3 linked regions of the Macaca mulatta genome follow. The protein of the gene in region 1 binds, or shares a complex with, the protein of each later gene. Links are inferred from orthologs where the notes say so. Each region holds a gene or a part of one and is shown in the gene's direction. Other genes may lie near its edges.

Evidence for each region.
Region 2: SNRNP40 (region 1) and CWC27 share a complex: the UniProt entries of both Homo sapiens proteins name them as parts of the minor spliceosome. The link is inferred for Macaca mulatta from reciprocal best matches to the Homo sapiens genes SNRNP40 and CWC27.
Region 3: SNRNP40 (region 1) and TXNL4A share a complex: the UniProt entries of both Homo sapiens proteins name them as parts of the U4/U6-U5 tri-snRNP complex. The link is inferred for Macaca mulatta from reciprocal best matches to the Homo sapiens genes SNRNP40 and TXNL4A.

The regions. Positions count from the first base shown.
Region 1 is NC_133406.1:209,599,349-209,605,741, forward strand, and holds part of SNRNP40 (U5 small nuclear ribonucleoprotein 40 kDa protein), read left to right. Parts: intron 1-2,146; exon of another isoform or gene 2,147-2,496; intron 2,497-2,648; exon of another isoform or gene 2,649-2,924; intron 2,925-4,367; coding exon 4,368-4,471; intron 4,472-6,393. UniProt on the Homo sapiens protein: Required for pre-mRNA splicing as component of the activated spliceosome. Component of the U5 small nuclear ribonucleoprotein (snRNP) complex and the U4/U6-U5 tri-snRNP complex, building blocks of the spliceosome.
Region 2 is NC_133411.1:72,854,861-72,861,253, forward strand, and holds part of CWC27 (spliceosome-associated protein CWC27 homolog), read left to right. Parts: intron 1-2,059; coding exon 2,060-2,217; intron 2,218-6,393. UniProt on the Homo sapiens protein: As part of the spliceosome, plays a role in pre-mRNA splicing. Probable inactive PPIase with no peptidyl-prolyl cis-trans isomerase activity. As a component of the minor spliceosome, involved in the splicing of U12-type introns in pre-mRNAs.
Region 3 is NC_133423.1:1,034,054-1,040,000, forward strand, and holds part of TXNL4A (thioredoxin-like protein 4A), read left to right. Parts: intron 1-2,236; coding exon 2,237-2,340; intron 2,341-5,947. UniProt on the Homo sapiens protein: Plays a role in pre-mRNA splicing as component of the U5 snRNP and U4/U6-U5 tri-snRNP complexes that are involved in spliceosome assembly, and as component of the precatalytic spliceosome (spliceosome B complex).

The DNA.
Region 1 (6,393 bases):
CTGCCTAGAGGGGGAAAGCTGAAGAATTTTAAGTTGTCAAGTTACTAGAGAAGACTTTAAGAAACAGACTAAGGTGTCTCATATTCTGATATAGTAAGAACTATCCTAATATTTTTACATAATTTTCAGCAGAAAGAGTGTATCTTTCTTTTGTAATTAAATTTTCTTGTTTGTTTTTGAGACATAGTCTCGCTCTGTCGCCCAGGCTGGAGTACAGTGGTGCAATCTCCACTCACTGCAAGCTCTGCCTCCCGGGTTCACGCCATTCTCCTGCCTCATCCTTCCGAGTAGCTGGGACTACAGGCACCCGCCGCCACACCCAGCTAATTTTTTGTATTTTTAGTAGAGACGGGGTTTCACTGGGTTAACCAGGATGATCTCGATCTCCTGACCTCGTGATCCGCCCGCCTCGGCCTCCCAAAGTGCTGGGATTATAGGCGTGAACCACCACGCCTGGCTGTAATTAAATTTTTAAATTATATATACATACTTTTTTTTCTCTGATGAGCAGTTTATTTCTGGCATTGGCCCTTTCTGAATTGTAGTATCCTCTTTTTCCTCTTTCCCTCTCCACTGTACTTTTAAACTTTACATGTGGTCGATGATGCACACCTTTAATCCCAACACTCTGAGAGGCCAAGGTGGAAGGATGGCTTGAACCCAAGAGTTCAAGACGAGCCTGGGCAAGATGGCAGGATCCTGTCTCTATAAAAAAAAAATCTTAAAAATTAGCCAGGCATAGTAGTGTGCACCTGTAGTCCCAGCTACTTAGTAGGCTGAGGCAGAAGGATCCCTTGAGCCCAGTAGTTTGAGGATATAGTGAGCTGCAATCATACCACTGCTCTCCAGCCTGGGCAACAGAGCAAGACACCATCTCTTTAAAAAAAAAAAAAAAAAAAAAAACTTCACATGTGGAAGCGTGGTCTGAGGAAAGCCTACCCTTTCTACCTGCTGGGGGTTGGCCAGATTTGACAGGCCACCTCGCCAATTAGCCCCAAGTCAACAAGCAGCTCTGTTACATAAGGCTCCTAGTTCCTGCCAAATGTTGCCATGCCAGAGTAAGGAGAGGGCAAGGAACTCCTCCAAATTTAGCATCTAATTGGCAGCCATCAAGAGTGAGGCCTTGAAGTGTAAACCCTTGGAGATCTGAGATTCTGTCTTTTATGTGCCTGGGAAATGTATCCTCAGAAAACTGCTTTTCAGCTTGGCCTGAATTTGGCAAATCTCTCCTTTCTACTAACTAATAACTTACAGATCACCTCCTCTTATTCAAACTTGAAACTATATATAGTCCTGTAGACTACAGGAAGGCTGGCCAGTCTCTTGGCCAAGAGTGATTTATTCAGCCCATTGACTTCATGAGATTCTGTTTTGATGATGAGTATACTTGTAATAACAATAGCTATAATTAATTCTGTGTGCCAGGCACTTTGCGTATATTACCTCATTATTTTTCTCAACAAAATTATGAGATCAATATTTTCTCCATCATTGTAACTAAGAAGCTTAGAGAAGTTAAATGATCTGCAATTATTTAACTTCTCTGAGCTAAGCTTACTTAGCTAGTAAATAGCTGCACTGAGACTTGAACCCCAGTCTTTCTGACTCCAGAGCTCATACTCTTTTACTGTGCCACACTGCCAATAATTGAATTAATGAGGACCACCTTTTTGTGCGTGACAGGAAAGAAGACAGTAGGAAGGGTATGAGTATCAGAGCCAAGGAGTCTAGACTGATGGAGTTCCTGCTTCTCCTCCATCTTGCTCAGAGCTTAGTTTCTATGGAGCCTAGCTGATGACAGCTAAATAGTATAATTAAGAAGCTCTTGTTTATTTGCATTTTAGACCAAAAGTGTAATGTTGGATTAGAACTAGGCATTTTATAATCCAGTACTGGTGAATGTACCATTTTTATGATCAAGTACTGGTGAGTTGTTGATTGCACAAAACAAAATATGTAAATAATTTTAAATACCTGCTTCAAAACCACCAGCCCTTTATATTTACCAACAGATAAATTTTACTTCATCAGATTAAGATAATAGACCCTTTATTTTTAGCCAGTATATTTATGGATGGTTAAGTGAAAGTAAAATACGGGAGTATATTAAGAGCTCCAGAGTCTTGGGTTCAGCTCTGTAGTTTCTGTGGCTGCTGAAGAGGTGGTCAGGAATATAGGAACCCCCTGCTGGGCTCCTGGTCACTTCTGTCTGCTCCATGGCAGGAAGCCTTCAGCACAAGACATCAAGGCAAGCTTGAATAAGAAAAACAATTTCTTCTTCCTAAGCCATGTCATATCAGTTATACAGAAGTACTACTTTGGGAAACAGTCTTCAGGAGAGCCTAGATGAGCTCATACAATCTCAGCAGTTCACTCAACTTGCCCTTCAAGTTTTACTTCAGTTTGATAAGGCTATAAACGCATCATTTTGGCTCAGAGGGTTAGGAACAGAGTTGATTTCAGTGGCTCTCTAAATACATACAGATTCTGCCATATGCCATGCATGGTGGCTCATGCCTGTCATCCCAGCACTTTGGGAGGTGAAGGCGGGAGGATCGCTTGAGGCGAGGAGTTCAAGACCAGCCTCGACAACATAGGAAGACACTGTCTCTACAAAAAAAAAAAAATTAATTTAGAAAAACAAAAAGATTCTGTGATAATATGTAGACTTTTATATTCAATGATATTGAATTACAAAAGGTGATAGAACTTATTAAAGTGGATAAAGTGAAAATTATGGCCTGTGATGATAAAAATACTGGCTGTAATACTACCGAATGAATAGGAAAAAAATCACGTTTTTATGACATCTTCTGTTACTATTCATCACTTTTGAAGAGAAATGTAAAAATTTTTTTATTCTAGCATTGCAGAAATTACATTGTGTTATTTTGGTATTTCGGTAGTTTTCAGTAGTATTCAGAGTATTTCAGTAGAAAGAAATTTAAAACTCTATAGCCTCTTATATTACCTTTATTATACAGCATGAAAAAAACATGAGACAGGATCTCACTCTGTCACCCAGGCTGGAGTGCAGTAGTGCCATCTCAGCTCACTGCAGCCTCTACCTGCTGGACTCAGTCAGTCCTCCCACCTTGGCCTCCCGAGTAGCTGGGACCACAGGCATGCACCACCACACCTGGCTAATTTTTTTTGTAGAGACGGGGTTTTACCATGTTGTCTAAGCTGGTCTCAAGCGCCTGAGCTCAAGCAGTCCATCAGCCTTGGCGCCCCAAAGTGCTAGGATTACAGACGTGAGCCACCATGCCCAGCCTCATAATTTTTTTTAATGACAAATAAAAATTTTGTCTTCCTAAGAACATTCTCTAATAAGCTTTTTTTTTTTTTTAAGAGTTCTAATTTTAGTTTTGCCATTGATGAACTGTATTGCCTTGGAAACGTCACTGTGCCCCAGTTTTCTTATCTCTAAAATAGGGAGTTTAGAAAAGCTGATATCTTTTTTCTCCTTTTTTTTTTTGGAGACGGAGTCTTACTCCGTCACCCAGGCTAGAGGACAGTGCCACGGTCTTGGCTCACTACAACCTCTGCCTCCCAGGTTCAAGCAATTCTCCTACTTCAGCCTCCCAAGTAGTTGGGATTACAGGCACACGCTACCACACCTGGCTAATTTTTTGTATTTTTAGTAGAGACTGGGTTTCACCTTGTTGGCCAGGCTGGTCTCAAACTCCTGACCTCAGACGATCCACCCACCTCAGCCTCCCAAAGTGCTGGGATTATAGGCATGAGCCACCATACCCAACCTAGACAAGCTGATTTCTATTGGCCCCTTCCCATTCTATAATTCAGTATTCCTTCTGCCTGATAATTCAATGGAAAATTTGACTCAAGTGAGTATTAGGTTAGCAAATAGTATAAATATTTTATATACCAGACACTTCCTGTCCTTTCTCGGGGCTTTGTTTGAATACAGTACGAAAAAGTTCACCCGGATCTGCAGCCTAGGCTCCCACCCTGCCATGAGTTGTGTTACCTTTTAGACTTCCTGGATGAGTATGAAGTTAACTGTAGCCTAATTATACTAGACACTCTGAAAAAGGTTTTTGTGTGATGTCTGCAGGAAAACCTTTCTCTTCTTCCCTGTGGTGTTTCCCATTTCAGAAGCTTGTATTCAAACATGCCAGTAATGCTTATATTTTTAGTTATTCTTATTTCTCCACCCCATTGCTCAAGAGCTGAGTTCATGTCTTATTCAAACTCTGTATTCCTAGTTTCTAAAAGCCAGAACACGGTTCAGTAAATGTAAGGTAAGTAAATAATTGTTGCTTCCATTTCCTTTAAAAAGCCATGCCTCTGCCTTACCCCCAGCTCTAGGAGGCCTTACCCTTGCTTTTCATGATACCTTACAGGTTTGTGTATGTGTGGGATACCACAAGCAGGAGAATATTATATAAGCTGCCCGGCCATGCTGGCTCCATCAATGAAGTTGCTTTCCACCCTGACGAGCCCATCAGTAAGTCTTTCCCAACAAGGGGGAAAGGGAAACTGGAAATCTCCCCGTAGGGATCCTGGGAATACAGAGGCAAAAGTGGGTATCTGTTTTATGCGAATTTCCATGCAAACAGCCTTTGGTGTTTTGTGTGGTTTTTTTTGTTTTTTTGTATGGTTTTTTTTTTTTTTTGAGACAGAGTCTCGCTGTTTCGCCCAGGTTGGAGCAATGGTGCAATCTCAGCTCACCGCAACCTCTGCCTCCTGGGTTCAAGCAGTTCTCCTGCCTCAGCCTCCCAAGTAGCTGGCATTACAGGCACACCACCATGCCCAGCTAATTTGTTTTTTTTGTCTTTTTTTTTTTTTTGGTATTTTTAGTAGAGACAGGGTTTCACCATATTGGTCAGGCTGGTCACGAACTCCTGACCTCAAGTAATCCACCCACCTCAGCCTCCCAAAGTGCTGGGATTACAGGCGTGAGTCACTGTGCCCAGCTGCAAACAGTCTTTTTTTTTTTTTTTTTTTTTTTTTTTTTTTTTTTTTTTTTTTTTTTTTTTTTTTTTGAGACGGAGTCTCGCTCTGTCGCCCGGGCTGGAGTGCAGTGGCCGGATCTCAGCTCACTGCAAGCTCCGCCTCCCGGGTTTACGCCATTCTCCTGCCTCAGCCTCCCGAATAGCTGGGACTACAGGCGCCCGCCACCTCGCCCGGCTAGTTTTTTGTATTTTTTTTAGTAGAGACGGGGTTTCACCGTGTTAGCCAGGATGGTCTCGATCTCCTGACCTCGTGATCCGCCTGCCTCGGCCTCCCAGAGTGCTGGGATTACAGGCTTGAGCCACCGCGCCCGGCCTGCAAACAGTCTTTATGTGGGTATCAATGACACTCTCACCACCTCATAAGTGGTAAGGGTAAGAGCAATGCTCTATTTTCTTCTTGATTTCAAAAGGAAGTTGGTAAGTCTAATTTTTTTTTTTTAAATTTACTTCCATCAAGTCTGTTTCAATGATGTATTTGGATAAAAGAACGATACTTTTTTTTTTCTTTTTTTTTAAGACGGAGTCTCACTCTTGTTGCCCAGGCTAGGATGCAGTGGCAAGATCTCGGCTCACTGCAACCTCTGCCTTCCCAGGTTCAAGCGATTCTCCTGCCTTAGCCTCCCAAGTAGCTGGGACTACAGGCACCCACCATCACACCTGCCTAATTTTTGTATTTTTAGTAGAGACGAGGTTTCACCATGTTGGCCAGGCCTGGTCTGGCCTCCCAAAGTGCTGGGATTACAGGTGTGAGCCACCATGCCCAACCAAGAATGATTCTTCTTAATATTTGGATATAGGCCGGGCGCGGTGGCTCAAGCCTGTAATCCCAGCACTTTGGGAGGCCGAGACGGGTGGATCACGAGGTCAGGAGATCGAGACCATCCTGGTTAACACGGTGAAACCCCGTCTCTACTAAAAAATACAAAAAACTAGCCGGGCGAGGTGGCGGGCGCCTGTAGTCCCAGCTACTTGGGAGGCTGAGGCAGGAGAATGGCATGAAGCCGGGAGGCGGCGCTTGCAGTGAGCCAAGATCGTGCCACTGCACTCCAGCCTGGGTGACAGAGCGAGACTCCGTCTCAAAAAAAAAAAAAAAAAAAATTTGGATATACATTTCAGCTTAAAATTTTGTGGCTGGCTAAACCAAATAATTTAAGCCTTGAATTAAAGGAGAAACTGTAACTTTCTCCAGGACTAAGTATAACAAGCAGAAGCACATTTACAAAATGACTGGCACAGCCATAGATTCCTCTTTTCTACAATGATTGGGAAAGTCTTTTTCTTGGGGTTTGACTGACAAAAGACATCAGTATTTAGTGTCTGATAATGTATTTCCCATAGTACAGTCATCCTCATGATATTAGAGGATTTGGATTGAAAAGCCAGGCTACAATTTCCTGTGAATGGTGTTTAGGAG
Region 2 (6,393 bases), on another chromosome or scaffold:
AGGAGAGATTATACCTTATTTAGGAAATACAAACAGAGATTTAAAGTTTCAAGGAGTCTGTCTTGTGAAGAGCAAGGAAGAAGATTATTGAAGGTAAGGGGAACTGCATATACAAAATAGTCCGAAGCAGGAGAGTTTGGTGTGTTCTAAGAGCTGCAAGCAGGCCAACGTGAACAGGATGTGGTGACAGGCCAGAGCTTCATTACAGAGCTTCATAGGCCGTGGTGAGGAGTTTGAATTTTTTCTCAAAAGGAAGTGAGGAACAGTTGAAGGGTGTTTGTTAAAAAGAAGGATGCTGTGATCAATTTTGCATTTCAGGAAGATCACCGTTGGTGATATTATAGAGGACAAATTAGAGGAAACAGACTGATGTCAAGGACAGCCACTGGGAAGCTATTGCAGGAGGAGAGCTTGATATAAGACCACAGCTGTGAGATGGGAAAGAGGTAGATTTGAAAGAGGTCTAGGAGGTGACTGATTCCATACTATGAGGTGAGGGAGGAGTAGTCCAAGACAACCACAAGGTCTCTGGTTTGGGCAACTTGTTAGATGGGTACAAAAGAAAGCATAGGGTTGAGATGGAGAGAAGGATGAAAAGTAATGAGCTTAATTTTATACATTTCAAGATTGAAGTAATTTGGAGACATCTGTGTAACATAATATGGGTCTAGAAGATAGGATCAATGTATAGGATAGAATGTAAAAGTATAAATTTGCTCTTAATATCATGGGTGGGTGACTAAAACTGTAGATCCTTTCCCAGGAAAATATCCTACATTCACAACCAAAATTATATGAATTTGCCGGGAATTTTTTTCAGATCTCCTGAGGCCTGAGCATGGAAGGCCTAGGTTGGTGGTTGTCAACTTTTAGTGCTTAAACATCTTGTTGAAAACATTCATAATTTCTGCCCCCAGAGATTTTGGTTCAATAAGTCTGCAATGAGGACTAGAATTTCAGGTGTTAATAAACAACTATGTAATACCATCTAAAGACCAGACTTTGAGGACCACTGCTTTAGGGGTCCACAAGTCTCAAATTAAGAATCCTGCTTTCACTACGACTCACCAGATCAAAGAAAGAATCACGAAATAAAAATGATCTACTTGGGGTTATTTCTTCCTTCTTCTCTCCCCTCTTTCTTCCCTTCATTCCTCCCTCTGTTAATGCTGGGTACCATTCTAGGAGTTGAAGATACAACAGTAAGCAAAACAGGCCAGAATTTTAGCCCTCATGGAGTGTATGCTATAGTTGGATGAGAGACAATACACATACAAATAATTAAAATGTATGGTGTATCAGATAGGTGATAAGTACTTTGGAAAATAAGCCAGGGAAGGGGAAAGAGTACTGGAGGTAAGTGTGTGGTTCTGCCATTTTAATAGGGTAATCTCATCACCAAGACGGTAATATTTGAGCAAAGATCCGAAGGAGATGAAAGAGCAAGCAATGAAGAGATATCTGGAATAGAGTGTTTGTTTCAGGCTAGAGAGAACAGCAACTCCAAAGCTGGCTAGTGTTGCTGGGGTGGAGTTGTAGGAGATTATGTCAGGGAGGTTTAGACTGCATAGGACCTTGAGTGAGTTGGGGACCCACTAGAGGGTTTTCAGAAGAGAAGTGATGCTATGACTTGGATTATAGAAATCTCAGCTTCTGCACTACACCTCTTCTACCTGAGTTGATCCGTGTTGAGGTCAGTATGCTGCCCAACTGCCTTCAGAAGCCACATTTCCCACTGAGATAAGAATAGGAATATAGACAGATACAATAGCCCGGGTGATATGGGGGTGAAGTCTGCTGCACAAAGGAGCTGGGCATGAATTGAGCAAACAACCTTTCCTGGGGTATCCCATAATTACATAGTTGGCTTAGAGCAGAACCCAGGGCTATTCCCACCTGTAGCAGATTCTTCAAAGGCTTGTAATTCAACACAAAAGAAAACAAAATAAAGAAAAACCTAGTTTAGAATGCAATAAGGAGATTCAGTGGATGCAGTAGATCTCTAGAAATGAAAGGGGAAATTGAGTGCCTGGCAAATACTCATTTTCCATTTCTACAGGATGGAGAAGATGAAAGTGCAGAGTATGATGAATATGTTGATGGTGATGAAAAGAACCTGATGAGAGAAAGAATTGCCAAAAAGTTAAAAAAGGACACAAGCGCGAATGTTAAATCAGCTGGAGAAGGAGAAGTGGAGAAGAAATCAGTCAGCCGCAGGTGAGTCAGTTACTGTGCTAGGTATCAGACTTTTTGTCTTTTTATATTTCACTTTAATTCAGATTGAATCCTCTCTTCAGCTAATTTTTAAAATACTATTTTCATATTGTTTGATAAACATAACAGTTGTACAAATTGGCCCAGTAGCGGGCCTAAAATAAAATACACCAAGCTTAAAGTAAACATAGTAATGATCCTGTGAGTTCAATTCCATTTTATTTCTCTCTGATCCTTTTTTAGAAAGGCTCTATAAGTTCATATATATAGGCTAATAATGTATTAGCTAGATGTGAAAGAATGCATTTGTTAAATACCAGTGAGAGCAGTAGAGTAATTGTATAGAAAGAAAAGAGACATCCTCAAATAATTTAGGTGAGCAAAATTTGTCAAAATTGATGAAGAAAATGTGTGGGCCTGAAAACGTTCTTAAATATCTTTTCAAGTCTGATTTACCAAATACCATATACCTATCCTAAGCTCAGTAGTATCATAAAATAAATTTCAGCAAATGATGAAAAGTTTACTGTCTGGTGATAAAAGTTTGTTGGATTTATAACTCAACATTTTATTCTCCTGAAATTCAACTTAATTGAAAAAATTATCTCCTTTGTGATTCTATTTCAACTTCATAGTATACATTTTAAATAACATTGCTTTAATTATTTAAAGCAATATTTAAAATAATTATTGTTTTCTTCAAATACTATTTAGGGATAAGATGAATGTAACTACATTTAAATAACATTCTTTTTCTCAATCATGTTTCTCAACCACATGTAGAAAAACTGAAAAAGGATTTCCATGCTATCATTGCATAGCTCCCTCAATTTTTTTCTTTATGTAATCAAATAAAAATTATTCCCAGAAATTTCCACTAAAAGCGTAGCTTTGAACATTTAGAAATGGCACTTAGGAGTCATCTTAAGTGTCTTTTTTCCAGCAATATTCACCCGACACTCAAGTAATCACTGTTGAATAATTTTATATACTAAATTATATTATATATACTATATATAGTAGCTAATATAGACTAAAGATTTTAGTGATCATATGCATGCTTCTAGATTCATAGAGTTGAAAAACCTCTCATTAGCACTGTGACTTTTAGTTAAATCATGAATATAATTATGGATACATAATGTTTTATTCCACTCATTCAAGGCATGTGTTTTCTTATTTTAAAAAATTATGAATTTTTTAAAGGTTAGGTTTATAATGTAACAAAAATATATTTAAAAATTTTAATAGATGAACCAACCAAATATTTATGTTATATATGAGTGTTCCTTAAACTCCCAACTCTGTCTTATAGGCTTTAATAAATTTCAAGTATTTATATACCCTATAATATAAATTATAATTTAGCAATGCTAAATTTTGTATAAGAACTGAAGTTTATTTTTAATGCACCTTTCATAAGTGTCTTTAAAAAATTGTTTAACTAATGTTAAGAAAAGTCAAAGTTCGCATTTTCCAAAATTATGTTCACTCTTACAATTAAGGGTTATTCTTAAAAGATTTCCTTGGCTGTAGTTTGGGCCTGATGACCAAACATGGCATTGATAGCTAGATTTAGGAATCTGATCTATCATGAGAATACTGGAGAGCCATTGAAGTTTTTACAGGCAAATGATACACTGAGATTGTATTTAGTATGGAGAATGGATTGATAGAGGAGTGTTTTGGGCCATTATACAAAATACCATAGACTGGATGACTTAAACAACAGACATTTAAAGCTTAGTTTTTATGCTGATTTCTTACATAGGAACGTATATATCCACTTACTCATGTAAGCAGTTTTTCTCTTTTTATAAATCAGTATAATTTGCAAAATTAAAATCGCATAATTTGTACTATTCACTGTAGAGGAAAAAGCTATATTCAAGCGCATTGCAAGTCTACTAAGAAAAGTAAATTAAATAAATTAAAAAAGTAAATTAAATACTTTTCTACTAAGAAAAGTAAATTAAATAAGAAATAAGTCTCCAAAGGTGGCTTGAATATTTTAGGTAAACATGAGTATTGTGGACATTATTGGATTCTTTTAGGTAAAATAATTGGCAAAGTGTGCCTTTGTAAATGGTGCAAACAGCACACATTTATTTATAACTGTTTTGTTCCCCCACATTTTCATTATTCACATTCTCTACTCTCCCTCCTTCATCCTATCTCTCCTACCTACAAAGAGAAACAAAAGAAAAATAAGGTCAGGATAGTAGAGAAAGTACAGAATTTCAAAGGGAAGAAACAGTTTTTTCCTCTAGTGTAGAAATTTCCAGGCCGGGCGCAGTGGCTCACGCCTGTAATCCCAGCACTTTGGGAGGCCGAGGCGGGTGGATCACCTGAGGTCAGGAGTTCGAGACCAGCCTGACCAACATGGAGAAACCTCGTCTCTACTAAAAATACAAAAAATTAGCTGGGCGTGGTGGCGCATGCCTATAATCCCAGCTACTGGGGAGGCTGAGGCAGGAGAATTGCTTGAGCCTGGGAGGCGGAGGTTGTGGTGAGCCGACATCGTGCCATTGCACTCCAGCCTGGGCAACAAGAGTGAAACTCCGCCTCAAAAAAAAAAAAAAAAAAGAAATTTCCATGATTGTGTCATGACCATGTATTTTTTCAGTTCGTGAAGTTGCCAAAATCAGACCCTGGCATGGTGGCTCATGCCTGTAATCCCAGCTGCTCAGCAGGCTGAGGTGGGAGAGTTGCTTGAGCCTAGGAGCTCTAGGCTGCAGTGAGCTATGATCGTGCATGGGTGACACAGCAAGACCCTGTCTCTAAAAAAATACAAATAAATTTTAAAAAATTTCCAGATCATTAGTACTTTTGGTTATTTATACCAGCAAGTCTCTGGAGTTAACTTTATGGTTAAAAAATAAAACAACAAAACATAGGAAAGCTCCAAATGTACTGAAAAATTACAATGTGGTAAAAAGGATAATTATATTTAAAGGAAAGTCACTGCTCAGTTTGGGTTGTAATGGGTATAGCTGCCAGCCAGATAGGATGTCAGTGTGAAATCATTATCTATTAAAAAATGAGTACTCTTGATACATAACTTCTTGTCTGGTTGTGCTTGAAGTACTCTATTATCCTTTGGTCATTTTTCCATTTAAGCAGTAGGATCAAAGACTAGACTAGCCTACCAGCCCTTTAAGCAAGGAGCCATTCAAAGTATAATTTTACTGAAAATGTATGGTATTGCTTCTTTTGGTAAGGAAACATCCGGAATCTGTTAAAACTGTTTATCACTTTGGATGTTAAACCTACACATGTATTTATTGAGTGCTTAATATTTAAACTAGAGAATGATATTTAACAGTATAGTTTTCAACAAGTTTACATACAGTAAGATCTTCTCCTAGTAATGTGTTCGCAACAGTGTCTCTAGTTGTTCATTTGAAAAAAGGGCTCAGGGGAAATACAAATCCAAAATGCTTCCTAGTTTCTCTCCTTAGAGAATAGGCACCCTTATATCTATTCTGACTTCCTGGGATTTCTAATCCCTTTCCTCTTCCCTTTTTAAAATGTACCAATCCCACTTTCTTTCCAGCCCACTTTCTCTATGCCTATATCTTGACTACTGGATACAGCTCAGCAGAATCACACAGCTATATACAAGCTGGTATTATTATGGATTTCTAGATTCCAGCCTCAGCTGTGTCTCCAGTGCTTCCTTTTTACTCACTCGCCACAATGTTTACTTCACACTTCAAACTCACTCACTCAGTCGATCACCTTGCTGCTGGTTGTTTTATGAAATGAGAGTGAATTTCTTCAACCCATGTTCCTTTATCTTCCTCGCTTCAAGAGTAAAAACTAACTAAACCATTCCATTTTATTTCCTATCCCTACCTCCTTCCTATTTATTTCTAAATACACATCATTTAGCTTCTTGCCTACCACTCCACTGAAACTACTCCCACTAAGGCCATCTTATTGATAATCGACTGACTATTTTCCAATTTTTTTTTCTTGGTCTCCCTGCTATGGAGATTTTTGTCTCTTCTCTCTCGAGACTAATCTCTCTCAAGAACCTTACTATTTAAAGTGTGATCTGTGAAGCAGTAGCATTAGTATCACTTGGGAACTTGTTAGAAATACCGAGTCTCAGGTCCTGTCCTATACATTTTTAATTAGAATTTGCATTTTAACAAGATCCCCAGGTTATTTGTA
Region 3 (5,947 bases), on another chromosome or scaffold:
ACTTAAACAACCTCAGCTCACTACCCCAGGACATCACCAAGAGGATGACGCTCAACCATTGATGAGAAATCCATCCCATGATCCAGTCCCCTCCCACCAGGCCCCACCTGCAACCCTGGGAGTTACGTTTCAACCTGAGATTTGGGTAGGGACAAATATCCAAGCTATATCAAATGGTGAAGTAATGGCATAGCCGTTTGATGAATCATGCGGCCACAAAAGTTTTCCGTTTTTGGAAAGTAGGTAATGTATGTAAAAGAATGCTCATAATTGGCCGGCAGGGTGGCTCACGCCTGTAATTCCAGCACTTTGAGAGGCTGAGGTGGGTGGATCACCTGTCAGGAGTTTGAGATCAGCCTGGCCAATATGGTGAAACCTCATCTCTACTAAAAATACAAAAATTAGCCAGATGCACTAGCACGCACCTGTAATCCCAGCTACATGGGAGGCTGAGGCTGGAGAATAGCTTGAACCCAGGAGGTGGAGGTTGCAGTGAGCCAAGATCGTGCCACTGCACTCCAGACTGGGTGACAGATCGAGACTCTGTCTCAAAAAAAAAGAAAGCTCGGCTGGGCGCGGTGGCTCAAGCCTGTAATCCCAGCACTTTGGGAGGCCTAGACGGGCGGATCACGAGGTCAGGAGATCGAGACCATCCTGGCTAACACGGTGAAACCCCTTCTCTACTAAAAAATACAAAAACTAGCCAGGCGAGGTGACGGGCGCCTGTAGTCCCAGCTACTCGGGAGGCTGAGGCAGGAGAATGGCGTGAACCCGGGAGGCGGAGCTTGCAGTGAGCTGAGATCCAGCCACAGCACTCCAGCCTGGGCCACAGAGCGAGACTCTGTCTCAAAAAAAAAAGAAAAGAAAGCTCATAATTAAAGCAGGATACAAAATATTGTACGATCACAATATGACCACAGTTTGCTATGTCTGAACAGAAATAGTATAAGCAAAATATATCTATAAGAAAGGGGGGAAAGAATATAGTAAAAAAAGTGCAAGGCGTGGTGGCTCGTGCCTGTAATTGCAGCACTTTGGGAAGCCAAGGCAGGCGTATCACTTGAGTCCAGGAGTTCAAGACTAGTCTGGGCAACATGGCAAAACCCTGTCTCTACAAAAAATACAAAAATTAGCCAGGTGTGGTGGTACGTGCCTGTAGTCCCAGCTACTTGGGAGGCTGAGATGGGTGGATCGCTTGAGCCCAGGAGGCAGAGGTTGCAGTGAGCCAAGATCTTGCCACTGCACTCCAGCCTGGGCAGCAGAGCCAGACCCTGTCTCCGAAAAAAAGATAACAGCAATCACCCCTGGGTGTTGGGATTGGAGGTGATTTTATTTTCTTTTTATTTTTCTGGCTTTTCTTTTTTTTTTTTTTTTTTTTTTTTTTTTGAGACGGAGTCTTGCTCTGTAGCCCGGGCTGGAGTGCAGTGGCCGAATCTCAGCTCACTGCAAGCTCCGCCTCCCGGGTTTACGCCATTCTCCTGCCTCAGCCTCCGGAGTAGCTGGGACTACAGGCGCCCGCCACCTCGCCCGGCTAGTTTTTTGTATTTTTTAGTAGAGACGGGGTTTCACTGTGTTAGCCAGGATGGTCTCGATCTCCTGACCTCGTGATCCGCCCGTCTCGGCCTCCCAAAGTGCTGGGATTACAGGCTTGAGCCACCGCGCCCGGCCTTTTCTGGCTTTTCTAAATCTCTGATAAACTTGCAGTTAAAGAAGAAATAACAGGAAATGTGTTTTATTGGGGTATTATTAGTATTTGCAAGTGTTCAAACCTAACTGCAGGAAAATGATGGCAGGATTCTACAGGCATATTTTAGAGCAGCTGTGAGATGCATGTAACTATGTAAAGGTTCGTATAGATGATTACTAGATCAGCATAAATGCTATATCTGTGGACGTTTTCTGCAGGACTTTCATAACTTGTCACCTGAGTGAAATTTAATTCCTAGGCAATTCTGGGAAATGGTGGCATGAGGCAGAAGGAGCCAGTGGCCAGTCCTGAAGTGTTCTGGGAAACGGTGGCGTGAGGTGGAAGGAGCCGGTGGCCAGGGTCCCGGCTATGATTGCACCACTGTGCTCTGTGGACGACAGAGTGAGACCCTGTCTCAAAAAAAAACAAAACAAAAGTTGCCCTGATCCACACAAATTCTTGGTTTTGTTTTTATAAATGTGCTTTTATAAAGTGAAAGCCAAAGTGTTCTGTTATTTCAGTTTTTTTTTTTTTTTAATCTCCTTTTAGGTTAAAAATTTTGCAGTTATTTATCTTGTGGATATTACAGAAGTACCTGACTTCAACAAAATGTATGAGTTATACGATCCTTGTACTGTCATGTTTTTCTTCAGGTATGTTATTTTAAAGTCGTTATTGAAACTGAATATTGTCAGTTTGGAAGTTTAATGTAACCAAGATCTCTTTATTTTATTTTGAAGGAAGTTGGTTCTACAGTCATATCCCAATAGCATTTGTATCACCAGGCAATCAGTGTGAATCTTTTAAATAATTTTCAAAGTAACAATTCTAGTTTTAGCATTTATTTAATAACAAATTATCCTTTTGAAATAACTTTGCTGGGAAACTAGGTAAAGTGTAATTCAATGAAAGACATTCTTACTGACATTTTAGATACCTTGAACTAATCTGTTCATCAAAAATGTGTTGTAAAATCACGAATTTAGGCCGGGTGCGGTGGCTCACGCCTACAATCCCAGCACTTTGGGAGGCTGAGGTGGGTGGATCACAAGGTTAGGAGTTCGAGACCAACCAGGCTAAGATGGTGAAACCTCGTCTCTACTAAAAATACAAAATTAGCCAGGCGTGGTGGTGCATGCCTGTAATTTCAGCTACTGGGAGGCTGAGGCAGGAGAATCACTTGAACCTGGGAGGTGGAGGTTGCAGTGAGCCGAGATTGCGCCATTGCACTCTGCCTAGGCAACAAGAGCAAAACTCCGTCTCAAAAAAAAAAAAAAAAAAACCTAATTTATTAAATACGATATCGACTTTAGTGTCCTTTTTTATATCTAAGAGGAACACCTGAACTGAATTACTTTGCTTATAAATACAAGATTATTTTATCAGCCCAGAAATTTCATTTTGGAAATTTAATGGGGAAGGAAATCACCATCTGATGCTGTTTTTGCTTGTTTAGTTACCATAGAGGTTGGTGAATTAGCTGCATGAGCATTAACCGTTCTCCAAAAGTGGAGCCTCCTGCTTGGTCAGGAAGGTCAGGTGGGTTGTACAGGGTGTGTATTAGTTTCATAGTCTTTGTAACAAATTAGCACACATTGAGCAGCTTAAATCACCCCCCTTTTCAGAGCTCACAGCTCTGTAAGTCAGACATCCAGGCAGGGCCCGCTGGATTCCTGCTCAGGGTCTCCCAAGGTCTGAACCATGGGCCAGGTGCTTCTCTGGAGCGTCTGAGGGGCTTGTTTGGGTTGTGGGCCGAATCCAGCTCTTCGTGGTGGAGAGTCTGAGATCTGCTTCCTTGCTGCTGTTACCTGAGGCCACGCTGCTGCTAGAGACCTCATCACCCTCAAAGCCAGCACCGGCATGCCGGCACGGTGAGGTATTTTCTTTTTTTTTGTTTGTTTGTTTTTTGAGACGGAGTCTCGCTCTGTCGCCCAGGGGCCGGATCTCAGCTCACTGCAAGCTCTGCCTCCCGGGTTTACGCCATTCTCCTGCCTCAGCCTCCCGAGTAGCTGGGACTACAGGCGCCCGCCACCTCGCCCGGCTAGTTTTTTGTATTTTTTAGTAGAGACGGGGTTTCACCGTGTTAGCCAGGATAGTCTCGATCTCCTGACCTCGTGATCCGCCCGTCTCGGCCTCCCAAAGCGCTGGGATTACAGGCTTGAGCCACCGCACCCGGCCATGTTGAGGTATTTTCACACAAGTTCTCTGACTTCCTGAAAAGTTCTGCCTGAGAAAATGCTCTGGTTTTAGAGGACTGTGATTAGATTAGACTTGCCTAAATAATCCAGGATAATCACCTTGTTTTATTGATTTATTGAGATGGAGTCTCACTCTGTCACCCAGGGTGGAGGGCAACGGTGCCATCACAGCATCCTTGAACTCCTGGCTTCAAGCCATCCTCTCGCCTCAGGCTGCCAAAGTGTGAGGCACTGCCGCGGTTCTGGGCATCGGGATACGCTCCCCTGGACATGCCTTAGGCTTCCTAGGCACCTCCTGTTTGGTGAGAAGATCTGTGAGGTGCACCTGCATTTCTTGTGAACTTTTGATCTTTCATAGGTTTCAGCAAAGGTTGCGTGGCCGACCCTCATCCTTTCCTCTGCTGTGCGTTCAGCAGCCATTTCTGAGTTTCAGCACCTTTGGCCATCCGGAGAGGCTCAAGAATTTATTCCTTTTGTTAACAGTTCTTACACGAATTTGCCTGTTTCCTCTCTTGAAGGCAGCACTTCCGAGACTTTGCTTGGAAGTTTCCGCAGCTAAATATCCCAAGTGTGTTGCTTTTGAGCTCTGATCTCCCATAACTGCGGACCCTGTGTCCCTGTTCCTTGGCCACTCTGTAACGGGGTCCCCTTTGCTCCGTTTCCCAGTAACGCACTCCTCACTTCCTTCCGAGCCCGCACCAGGCATTCCTAAAGTCCATATTCCTGTTAACAGCCTGTTTGAGGCAATAGAGGCCTTTTCTAATTCTTCAGGTGAGAACAGGGAGGGCCGTCTTAGGTCTGTGCCCCCCACAGCGTGCAGTGGAGGCCAGCCTGGGGCTGGAGATGCTGTGAGGGGCAAGGAGGCTGCAGGGAACAGCCTTGGATGGAGGCTGTAGCCTACTTAGTGTAGTTTGATATTCTTAGGACTGATGCTATACTCAGAAAAGAAGATGAAACTTCCTTCTGCTGTTGTTTCTGTGATTCAGAATATTAAGACAAATGGTACTTTAGTTACCTTATGCACTAAACATGTATCTTGAGCCCCCACCAGGTCTGTGGTCTAGTGGTGGGGCCTAATATCAGATAAGGCAGGATTCCCACTCTCACAGGACTTTGTCTGATAGAAGAAACAGCTGAGTAAATTAGCAGGGAATACTGAAGAAGTGAAAGGAGGCAGGTGTTTATGAGATGTAAATACTGAAGAAGTACCCCCAAGTCAGATAGGGCTACAGGGAGGGTACTACGGGCAGCCCCAGTCAGCGTAGAAGGATCTTGGTGCGTGCTGCATGGAGCGCCGGCCTGCAGCATGGAGAATGAGAGGGCGGCCAGAGGTGGGCTCCAGACCCTGATCAGATTTGCCTTTCCTGAACCACAGACTTCACTGGGAACGCTTTCTGTGGAATAGTAGGTGGAAGCCAAATGCATGATCTTGTGGAAGTGAACGTTAAAAAACAGTCTTCAGGTGGGGCATGCCTGCCGCCCAGCCACTCTGCAGGCCGGGGTTCAAGTCCGGCCTTAGCAACATAGACCTCATCTCTAAGAAAAATAATCAGGTCGGGCGCAGTGGCTCACACCTGTAATCCCAGCACTTTGGGAGGCCAAGGTGGGAGGATCACTTGAGGCCGTGAATTTGAGACCAGCTTGGGCAACATAGGGATACCCCATCTCTACAAAAAACTAGAAATTAGCTGGGTGTGGGGGCTCATGCCTGTTGTCCCTGTTACGTAGAGGACTGAGGTGGAAGGATCATTTGGGCCGGTAGGTTGATTTTGCTGCCGTGCCCTAGCCTGGACGACAGTGAGACCCCATCTCAGAAAGAAACTTCAACAAACCAGGATAAATTTATGCCAGTACAACAAAGGGCTAATATCATTATCTTGTAAAGTGCACATAAGTATTCATAAGAAAAAGAACTAATCTCTTGAAAGATAAGTCAAGAATCATCTACTTCCCTCACCATAAACATGCAAAATGTCATCTTCATTTCATAGTTGAAGGGCTTTTAATACAATTTATGTCAGTGCTCAGAAGAGCACCATGAAAAACACATTGTTTTTATCAG